3 linked regions of the Saccharomyces cerevisiae S288C genome follow. Each later gene encodes a partner of the first gene's protein in a complex. Each region holds a gene or a part of one and is shown on either strand. Other genes may lie near its edges. The genes, in order: EMC5, EMC4 and EMC10.

What was found.
Region 2: EMC5 (region 1) and EMC4 share a complex: the UniProt entries of both Saccharomyces cerevisiae proteins name them as parts of the ER membrane protein complex.
Region 3: EMC5 (region 1) and EMC10 share a complex: the UniProt entries of both Saccharomyces cerevisiae proteins name them as parts of the ER membrane protein complex.

Annotation. Positions count from the first base shown.
Region 1 is NC_001141.2:303,073-305,980, forward strand, and holds EMC5 (Emc5p), read right to left. Parts: upstream 1,033-2,908; coding exon 607-1,032; downstream 1-606. Other genes in the region: cohesin subunit IRR1, read right to left, coding at 1,405-2,908. UniProt on the Saccharomyces cerevisiae protein: Part of the endoplasmic reticulum membrane protein complex (EMC) that enables the energy-independent insertion into endoplasmic reticulum membranes of newly synthesized membrane proteins.
Region 2 is NC_001139.9:62,385-65,380, forward strand, and holds EMC4 (chaperone EMC4), read right to left. Parts: upstream 1,237-2,996; coding exon 664-1,236; downstream 1-663. Other genes in the region: TAN1 (putative tRNA acetyltransferase), read left to right, coding at 1-618; YGL230C (uncharacterized protein), read right to left, coding at 1,388-1,831; SAP4 (Sap4p), read right to left, coding at 2,119-2,996. UniProt on the Saccharomyces cerevisiae protein: Part of the endoplasmic reticulum membrane protein complex (EMC) that enables the energy-independent insertion into endoplasmic reticulum membranes of newly synthesized membrane proteins.
Region 3 is NC_001136.10:564,353-567,326, forward strand, and holds EMC10 (Emc10p), read right to left. Parts: upstream 1,289-2,974; coding exon 671-1,288; downstream 1-670. Other genes in the region: PST1 (Pst1p), read left to right, coding at 1-509; YOS9 (Yos9p), read left to right, coding at 1,575-2,974. UniProt on the Saccharomyces cerevisiae protein: Part of the endoplasmic reticulum membrane protein complex (EMC) that enables the energy-independent insertion into endoplasmic reticulum membranes of newly synthesized membrane proteins.

The sequences.
Region 1 (2,908 bases):
ACAACTAGCATGGGCGTTCAAGTGGTGGAGAACTATTACCTGTTCCTGAAATAACAGAATGAATCATCAATAAGGGCTTGTCTGTACCTCAGGATGATTTGAACAAGTTCCACTTACGCTAACATGAGGATGAATATCGTACTTATACTATGTAAACTGGAATAGAAATATTCCGAACGGTTATCCATTAGAGTGTTAGCCCTCAAACCGAGACTCTCGATAATATTGAATAGAAGATTTTACCACTAAATTTAGTGTGTATTTATGTATCTTAATAACAAACTATCCAACGAAGACGCAAAAGATACTATCCGCCCCGTAATCCTTTTGAAACCACTCAAGCTTATGGTTCACGTTATAGAACACAGGAGACGCTTGCATTATTGGTGATTCTAATATAGCTTTCTATTCCTCTATGAAAGGCGTCTGTGTTGGTGTAAATAGAAGAGGTGCCTGGTCACCTGACGCCTTATTTTGTGCAGTTACGATGTTCGAGTAGATTCGCTATCGAATTTATGCTCAAAATCTAGCTAATCCTCTTATTAGATCTTGATATGTATATATGTATGAAATTATAAGTTCTAGCTCTAGTTTTCAGTATCTTATTTATTTTTCTTTTTTTACAGTGTTAGAGGCCCATTCCCTGCAAATTTTTCTCTTCATATGAACGTCAACAAAGCTTGGAGTAAATATGATCTCACCATTAGGGTTACTTCCTATCAAGTTATCCACGTTGGTGGCTTTATTTAATGCGATTTCTTTTAGATAGTTTCCTTGGGATATTATCTTCCCATCGTTACTCTCAATTGGTAAATATTGTAATTTCTCGAACGAAGTGAACACTGCAAGAACAAAGAGTATCAATCCTGCATACGTTTCATACATGATATCTTTAGGTAACTTGCTGATTGCACCTTGTGCATTATTAAGCGAGTTAAGTTTTAATAAGTGATGAAACTCATAGCTTGAGAAACCAGAATGAAATAACACCAATGCAGAGACTGTATAGAGAAGCTTGGAAACAAACGACATCTCTTGATAATTGCTTTTTTGTATCTCGGTAGGGCTTAATTACGATCGCTTTTTAGATGCTACAATTAACATGCATAACAACTATCTGAGTTGACTTTATTTTATATTCAAAAGTAGATTTTTCTGCGCTGCGTTTACATCGCGAGTTTTCGAAGAAGCAAAGGGCGCTTTGATGACGATTGAATGGGCTTGGAAAATACATAGCCGAATATCATCCAGCGAGTATAGTCTAATGCGAAGGGATATTTGAAGTATTTATGATTAATCAAAAACTGCTAACGAAGCTATGTATGTTCAAAAGAAAGATGTGATATATATTATAGATCTTATTGTTTTACAAAAGAGCAATAAGTCTGACGTATATCTTTTCCCTTAATCTTGTGTGATTTCGTCGCTGTTGTCTATAGCATCTACCACGGTTGGGTGTTCCTCAATTGGTGCTAACTCTGAATTATTTTGCGAACTTTCTTCAATAGGTTCTAGATCGATTGTCATGGGAATATCTGGATCATTATTTTCAGTATTTGCATGGTCGGTTTCTCGTTCACTGTTGGGTTGTAAAGGCGCTTTTTCCCTCTGTGTTTGATTTGATTTTGCTTTCTGTATGTTCTTTTTATTAGGTTCTGGATTTTCCATTATGGTATCATCTACGATTTTTTTGAACAGCGGGCCAAGCTTTTCTTTGTTTAGTGCCACACGGGAAGCAAATCGTTCATCTAAAATATTCAGTTTCATTAGTCCCTTCAATTTAACTGTGAATAAAAGGAATTCAGTTTCAATATTCTCGAAAAACCCGGTTTCCGGCAAATCATTTAGGTTGGCGTCTTCATCTGCTACCCTTTCTAATTGGACGTCAACTTGCTTAGCGAAAAGACTCTCCAAATATAAAAATATTTTCAAAAGCACTTTGGAAGCATTATCGTGAAGGTAAAATGGAAATTGTTCACTCATACTATATCTCCATGTTGTAGCGTCTGCAGGCAATTTGAGCTCAAATATTTTTATTGCAACGATTATATCCATTAATGAAGTGCAAGCTGACCATTTTAAGTAAAACAAGCTGTTTATGTTTTCAAATGTTTCGTTTGTAGCCGCCAATGAAATAACGAGTGTGTTTAGACGACCTATTATAGCGGCAATTGGTTTCCAAACTGATCTAAGATCTTTTGAAATAGAATTCTCGTAATCCCTTACTTTCTCTATTATTTCTCTCCATTTTTCCAGATTCCATGTGGCTAATAACACTAGCATTTTAAAGTTTATTTCTTGAGCGGTACTATCATCAAAATCTTGAAACATTATAGGGATACGGGAAACAAAATTGTTCAAAAACAGTTGCAACAACTCTTCATCAACCTCGATTGGGTAATCCCTGCCAAGAATTGTCAGTTTATTGATGTAGAGCTCGTACAAAGAACAAGTTAAATCTTTGTAGTCGTCCCTAGAATTATTTGGATCCATTTTTTCCTGTAGAAATTTTTTTAAATGAATTTTCAATGTAGCTATCTGGTTTAAAAATTTTTCCTGCAGTTCCTTTTTTTCAAAATGATGGATATGGTGAATGAATTTAGCAAATATATCGTACTTCATGTCAACTTTTGAATTCCCGATTGTAGAATCCATAAATGCTTTAATAGTTTTGTCGGTAATTTTTTTTAATTCAGTTTCATATCCAATAGATATCCAATCATCCAGAGAAAATGTGATAAAGCTCTCTAGGAGAGGACACAGAATATCAGCAGATTCGATGGATGCGGCATTCAACAAATCGTAGAATAAAGGCAAAACTATTTCCTTAACGCTGTCCTTAGTTTGGATTTTGGGGTTGTTGGCACCTGCACACAGACCGTGGAATACGTTCAGATATAAAATAGTG
Region 2 (2,996 bases), on another chromosome or scaffold:
CAGATAAAAAAGGAATTACAAGAATTGAAAGGTGAAGAAACAGGCAAAGATTTATCTTCAGGGGAGACAAAGAAGAAAGACCCCTTAGCCTTCATCGACTTGAACTGTGAGTGCGTGACATTTTGTAAAACAAGAAAGCCAATTGTTCCCGAAGAATTTGTGCTAAGTATCATGAAAGACTTAGCGGATCCCAAAAATATGGTTAAACGTACTAGATATGTTCAGAAATTAACACCTATTACGTACTCTTGTAATGCAAAAATGGAGCAATTAATCAAGTTGGCCAATTTGGTTATTGGGCCACACTTTCATGACCCTTCGAATGTTAAAAAAAATTATAAATTTGCTGTAGAAGTGACAAGAAGAAATTTCAATACGATTGAAAGAATGGACATCATTAATCAAGTTGTGAAGCTGGTCAATAAAGAGGGTTCTGAGTTTAATCATACTGTGGACTTGAAGAACTATGATAAATTGATTCTAGTGGAATGTTTTAAGAGCAATATCGGAATGTGTGTAGTCGATGGGGATTATAAAACCAAATATCGTAAATACAACGTTCAACAGCTTTATGAATCGAAATTCCGAAAGGATGAAGATAAGAGTGTAAAACAATAATCATATATGAAACAGAATAGATATTTTATATAAGTATATACGCTCTCAATCGGAAAACCATTGTAATCCATTATTATAATGAGCAATTCGTTCCCAGGGTAGCCAATCACCCTTAGCGTTAGGAATGAGACCCATTGAATTTAGTTTCCTGTATCCAATGTACATTAAGACGCCTTGGAATACGATATACATGAACATAGCAGTTTGCACTTGACTTTGTGTTGCTTTATTACCCAACACTGGTTTGAATGCACTCCTTGTTGAAAATATTGCTTTAATGGGTCCAGAGAGTAGCATGAGGGCAGTCATTATAGGAATGATTTGTAAGGATGTACCGGACATATACGACATAAAAATATTCATCGGAATAGATTTGGCTGGTTGTAACGCAATTTGCCATGCCTTCTGTACTTGTAATACTGTTATTTGGTTTTTTTGTGCCAAAGAAGTAGTTTGAGATGTAGCATCTTGTTGTTTTCTTGTAACATTTCCTTTAGAGGAATTACCTTCAAATCCTGGTGGTGAAGGTAATGTGTTTGAGTTCTGAATGTTGTATTTTTCGATATACTTGGTGTCCAATAGGTGTTTAGCCCATTCGTAAGGCTCCTGTTCACTCATTTCTGTTGCTTATATCGTTTGGCTTTATTTTAACCTTAACTGATATTATGTTCAACTTTTTTTCATTCTATTTATATAGAAAAGAATACGCTTTTTTTATTATTTATGAAAGGAACATGAAAAAACTACGAATGTACAAAAGCAGAGATTGCTAGAGAATACATTGGTCAAGAATTTTCGCATATGGAACGCATTGCTCTTTTAGATGGGCTGTTAAATAATCGTAATTTAGGTTAGTTATTGCCCTTTGCGTCTTCCGTGGAACAATGTTGGTCCAATAAATTATAAAGAAAAGAAATTGGATAGCACAAATAAAAGAGCAAGCGATAATGCAAAACATTAAAAGTCTGTTTTCCATTAGTTTGTAATATTCTGAGGTCATCAATAAAAACCATTTTTTCGTTCTTGTAAAATTGTATCTCTCATCTGTATTGGATTTTTCGACCATTTGAAAATCATCCTTGCTTTTTCCTTTATATTCAGTCGAGGAATCATTTGCTGTATTAGGCTCTGGTTGAGAAACCTCTTCAAGGCCCTTTTTTGGGTAGGCTTTCAATAAATGTAGAACATTGCCGGATAGTGTAATAATTCCCATTATTATGGTTTTGTTTTGCCTGGTTTGGGCCTGACTTTAGTTATATGATTATTTTTGTATAGATAGCTATAAGTTATTGAAAGTAAGCTAGACAATAATTTTTGGTGAATAGTTGGTGAACATTCCTGAACTACAAAGGACTATTGTTATATTTAGTTTACTTCAATTGGCCCCCAATAGGCTTCGTAATTTTTACATGTCACAAAATTAAATAAGGCAAAACGAGAAACAAAATATTAAAAATGTAGGAAAAAAAAAGTCAAAATTGGTTTGACGACTTAACCTAATCAATTTAAGTCGGAATGATGATCAACAATAACATCTTTAATTTTATCATGAATATCTAATTCGGTTAATTGACCCAATTCATCTATGAGCTCGGCAACTTTATCATGCAACTTAACATCCTCCTCGTGAACAATTTCATTCTCATCCATTGTGGATGGATGAGCTGGTTTACTCATATCAGCTTTTTCCAAAAAGTCCTGGTTAGTATTTTCATCGCTTTCGGCACAGAACTGGCCTCCACCAAGAATTATTGAACACATTGTCCTTGTTTCGTTCAAGATGTCACTAGAATATGACATCCAAACTTCATCTTGTAAGAAGGCATATATATCTGGAGCAATTAGATCGGTCTTATAAATTTTGGAATACTTCGCAATTTCTTCGGCAATTAATACTAATTGACCCATATAACCTAAATTTGTTTTCTCTTTTTCGTAAAATTCAAACGAATCCTTGTGGCCTTGTAAAATGAAATCAGAGATAATATGGAAGTCTTTAACAGGTAACTTTTGGTTGCTGCCGTACAAAGGTTTTGGGATAAATCTTGTAGACTTTTTGAAATCAAACAAAGAATAGACCAAAAATGAGTTATAAGAAAAATCCATTCGACCATTGAATATCTGCTGAATAATATCAAATACAATGTTGTGCCAAAAGTTATTCCAAGGATATCTTAAGAATAATTGTAGAAACTTTGGAAAAAACCCAAGGTCATGAAGTTTAATTTTGAATAAATCTCCAATGGTAGGGTTTTTACGTATTTTCAAATTTTGCGTTTCACTGACGTAAGGAATTTCAAAACTCATATCATCATCATCATCAATATTGTCATCAGATGTATCAAAAGTAGAATACAATTCATTATCATGAAACTTTT
Region 3 (2,974 bases), on another chromosome or scaffold:
TTGTCGTTGCTAACAACACTGGTTTACAAAAAATTGGTGGTCTCGACAACCTAACAACCATTGGCGGTACTTTGGAAGTTGTTGGTAACTTCACCTCCTTGAACCTAGACTCTTTGAAGTCTGTCAAGGGTGGCGCAGATGTCGAATCAAAGTCAAGCAATTTCTCCTGTAATGCTTTGAAAGCTTTGCAAAAGAAAGGGGGTATCAAGGGTGAATCTTTTGTCTGCAAAAATGGTGCATCATCCACATCTGTTAAACTATCGTCCACTTCCAAATCTCAATCAAGCCAAACTACTGCCAAGGTTTCCAAGTCATCTTCTAAGGCCGAGGAAAAGAAGTTCACTTCTGGCGATATCAAGGCTGCTGCTTCTGCCTCTAGTGTTTCTAGTTCTGGCGCTTCCAGCTCTAGCTCTAAGAGTTCCAAAGGCAATGCCGCTATCATGGCACCAATTGGCCAAACAACCCCTTTGGTCGGTCTTTTGACGGCAATCATCATGTCTATAATGTAATGGAATGAAGAAATATTCTTCATTTTTGATAACTAGTACCTGTCATTCACGACATGTGAACAAATAAAAACATTTATTTAAAAATTTTATGTATTCAAATATTTTCGGGAAAGAGATAAAAGTAACGACACTTAAAAATTTAAAAAATCACAATACTTTATTTACTCAGTCTTTTGATCAGCTCCGGCACCTCCTTGTTGTTGCTTCTTTGCTGAGCCCGCAACAAAATTGTAAATCAATAGGCCTAAAAGTAACATTTTCCAGTTCTTTTGAAACCAAGACACCTCCTTAACCTCTTCATCTTCTTCGAATTGTGCAGTGCTTCCATCCTTATTCTTACTAGCTTTTTTATCAGCATAAGTTTTGGTTTTCTTCTTTAATTTGGTGACTGGTGCAGTAGGTCCCGCTTCTGGATATCTGACTGTAGCAGTAATAGCATCGTTAGTCTCGTCATATGATAACGACACTTGTTTGACCTCATTATCTTCATCTACATCCACAATTAAATCGTATTTTAGTGGTGTCCTCAGCTTCATGTAGCTAAAACATGGCATATCCAGCTTACCTTCAATCTGGGCATTCAAACAGTATTCTCCAGAAACTTCAACATCCTGTATATTAACGGTTGTTACTGTAACATTCCCATCGGATGTACTATCAATCTCAAATGTTCCTAGGGGTATAGCGTCTTTCGCATCATCTGAATAGCTTAATTGTAAAATATCAGCACAGAAAACCATGCTGGCCAATAAAATCACACGCAACAGCCGCACAAGCATCTTTCCTTCAATGAGTATTGTACAGTTCTTGTTAGATAGTGTTGAATAGTACCACCTTGTTTTTTTACTCAAAGTGTCTTTTATATACTTCTAATTATTCCTATATTTGGTTGGGTTTTTAAGTTACCAATGCAAATACAGTGGTTAGAGACCCAGCGCACGTATGCAAAAAAATACAGCGGAAATTTCAAGTAAAAATGTAGCTTCATAAAAAAGAAGCAGATTCCCTAAAATAAGCAATAGATCTTCACATATATCGTTATCATCCCCTTTCTTCCCTGTTTCAATGCAAGCTAAAATTATATATGCTCTGAGCGCAATTTCTGCGTTGATTCCGTTAGGATCATCACTATTAGCACCTATAGAAGACCCCATAGTATCGAATAAGTACCTCATATCTTACATCGATGAGGACGACTGGAGTGATAGGATATTACAAAATCAGTCTGTCATGAACTCGGGATATATAGTGAATATGGGCGACGACCTTGAATGCTTTATTCAAAATGCAAGCACTCAATTGAATGATGTATTGGAAGACTCAAATGAGCATAGCAATAGTGAAAAGACAGCATTATTAACTAAAACCCTGAATCAAGGTGTTAAGACAATTTTCGATAAATTAAATGAACGGTGCATCTTCTACCAAGCCGGATTTTGGATTTACGAGTACTGTCCTGGCATAGAATTTGTTCAGTTCCATGGTAGAGTAAATACAAAAACTGGTGAAATAGTAAATCGAGATGAATCTTTGGTCTACCGCCTGGGAAAACCAAAAGCAAATGTAGAAGAGAGAGAATTTGAACTACTTTATGACGATGTAGGATATTACATCAGCGAAATTATAGGGTCAGGTGATATTTGCGATGTGACGGGGGCTGAAAGAATGGTTGAAATACAATATGTCTGTGGCGGCTCAAACTCTGGACCATCGACTATTCAATGGGTGAGAGAAACAAAAATTTGTGTTTATGAAGCCCAAGTTACCATACCTGAATTGTGCAATTTAGAATTACTAGCCAAAAATGAAGACCAAAAGAACGCCTCACCTATACTTTGCAGGATGCCCGCAAAATCAAAAATTGGTAGTAACTCTATTGATTTAATCACCAAATATGAACCGATTTTTTTAGGTTCTGGAATATACTTTCTAAGGCCCTTTAACACCGACGAAAGAGACAAATTAATGGTTACTGACAATGCCATGTCAAATTGGGATGAGATTACGGAAACATATTACCAGAAATTTGGAAATGCCATAAACAAAATGCTTAGTTTGAGATTAGTATCGTTACCTAATGGACATATTCTCCAGCCTGGTGACTCATGTGTTTGGTTGGCGGAAGTGGTTGATATGAAAGATCGGTTTCAAACCACTTTATCGTTGAACATACTTAATTCACAGAGAGCAGAGATATTTTTCAACAAGACGTTTACATTTAATGAAGATAATGGAAACTTCCTATCATACAAAATTGGGGATCATGGCGAGTCAACTGAACTTGGTCAAATAACCCACTCAAACAAAGCAGATATAAATACCGCAGAAATTCGGTCAGATGAATACTTAATTAACACTGATAATGAGCTATTCTTGAGGATTTCTAAGGAGATAGCAGAAGTGAAAGAATTATTAAACGAAATCGTAAGTCCACATGAAATGGAAGTAATATTTGAAAACATGAG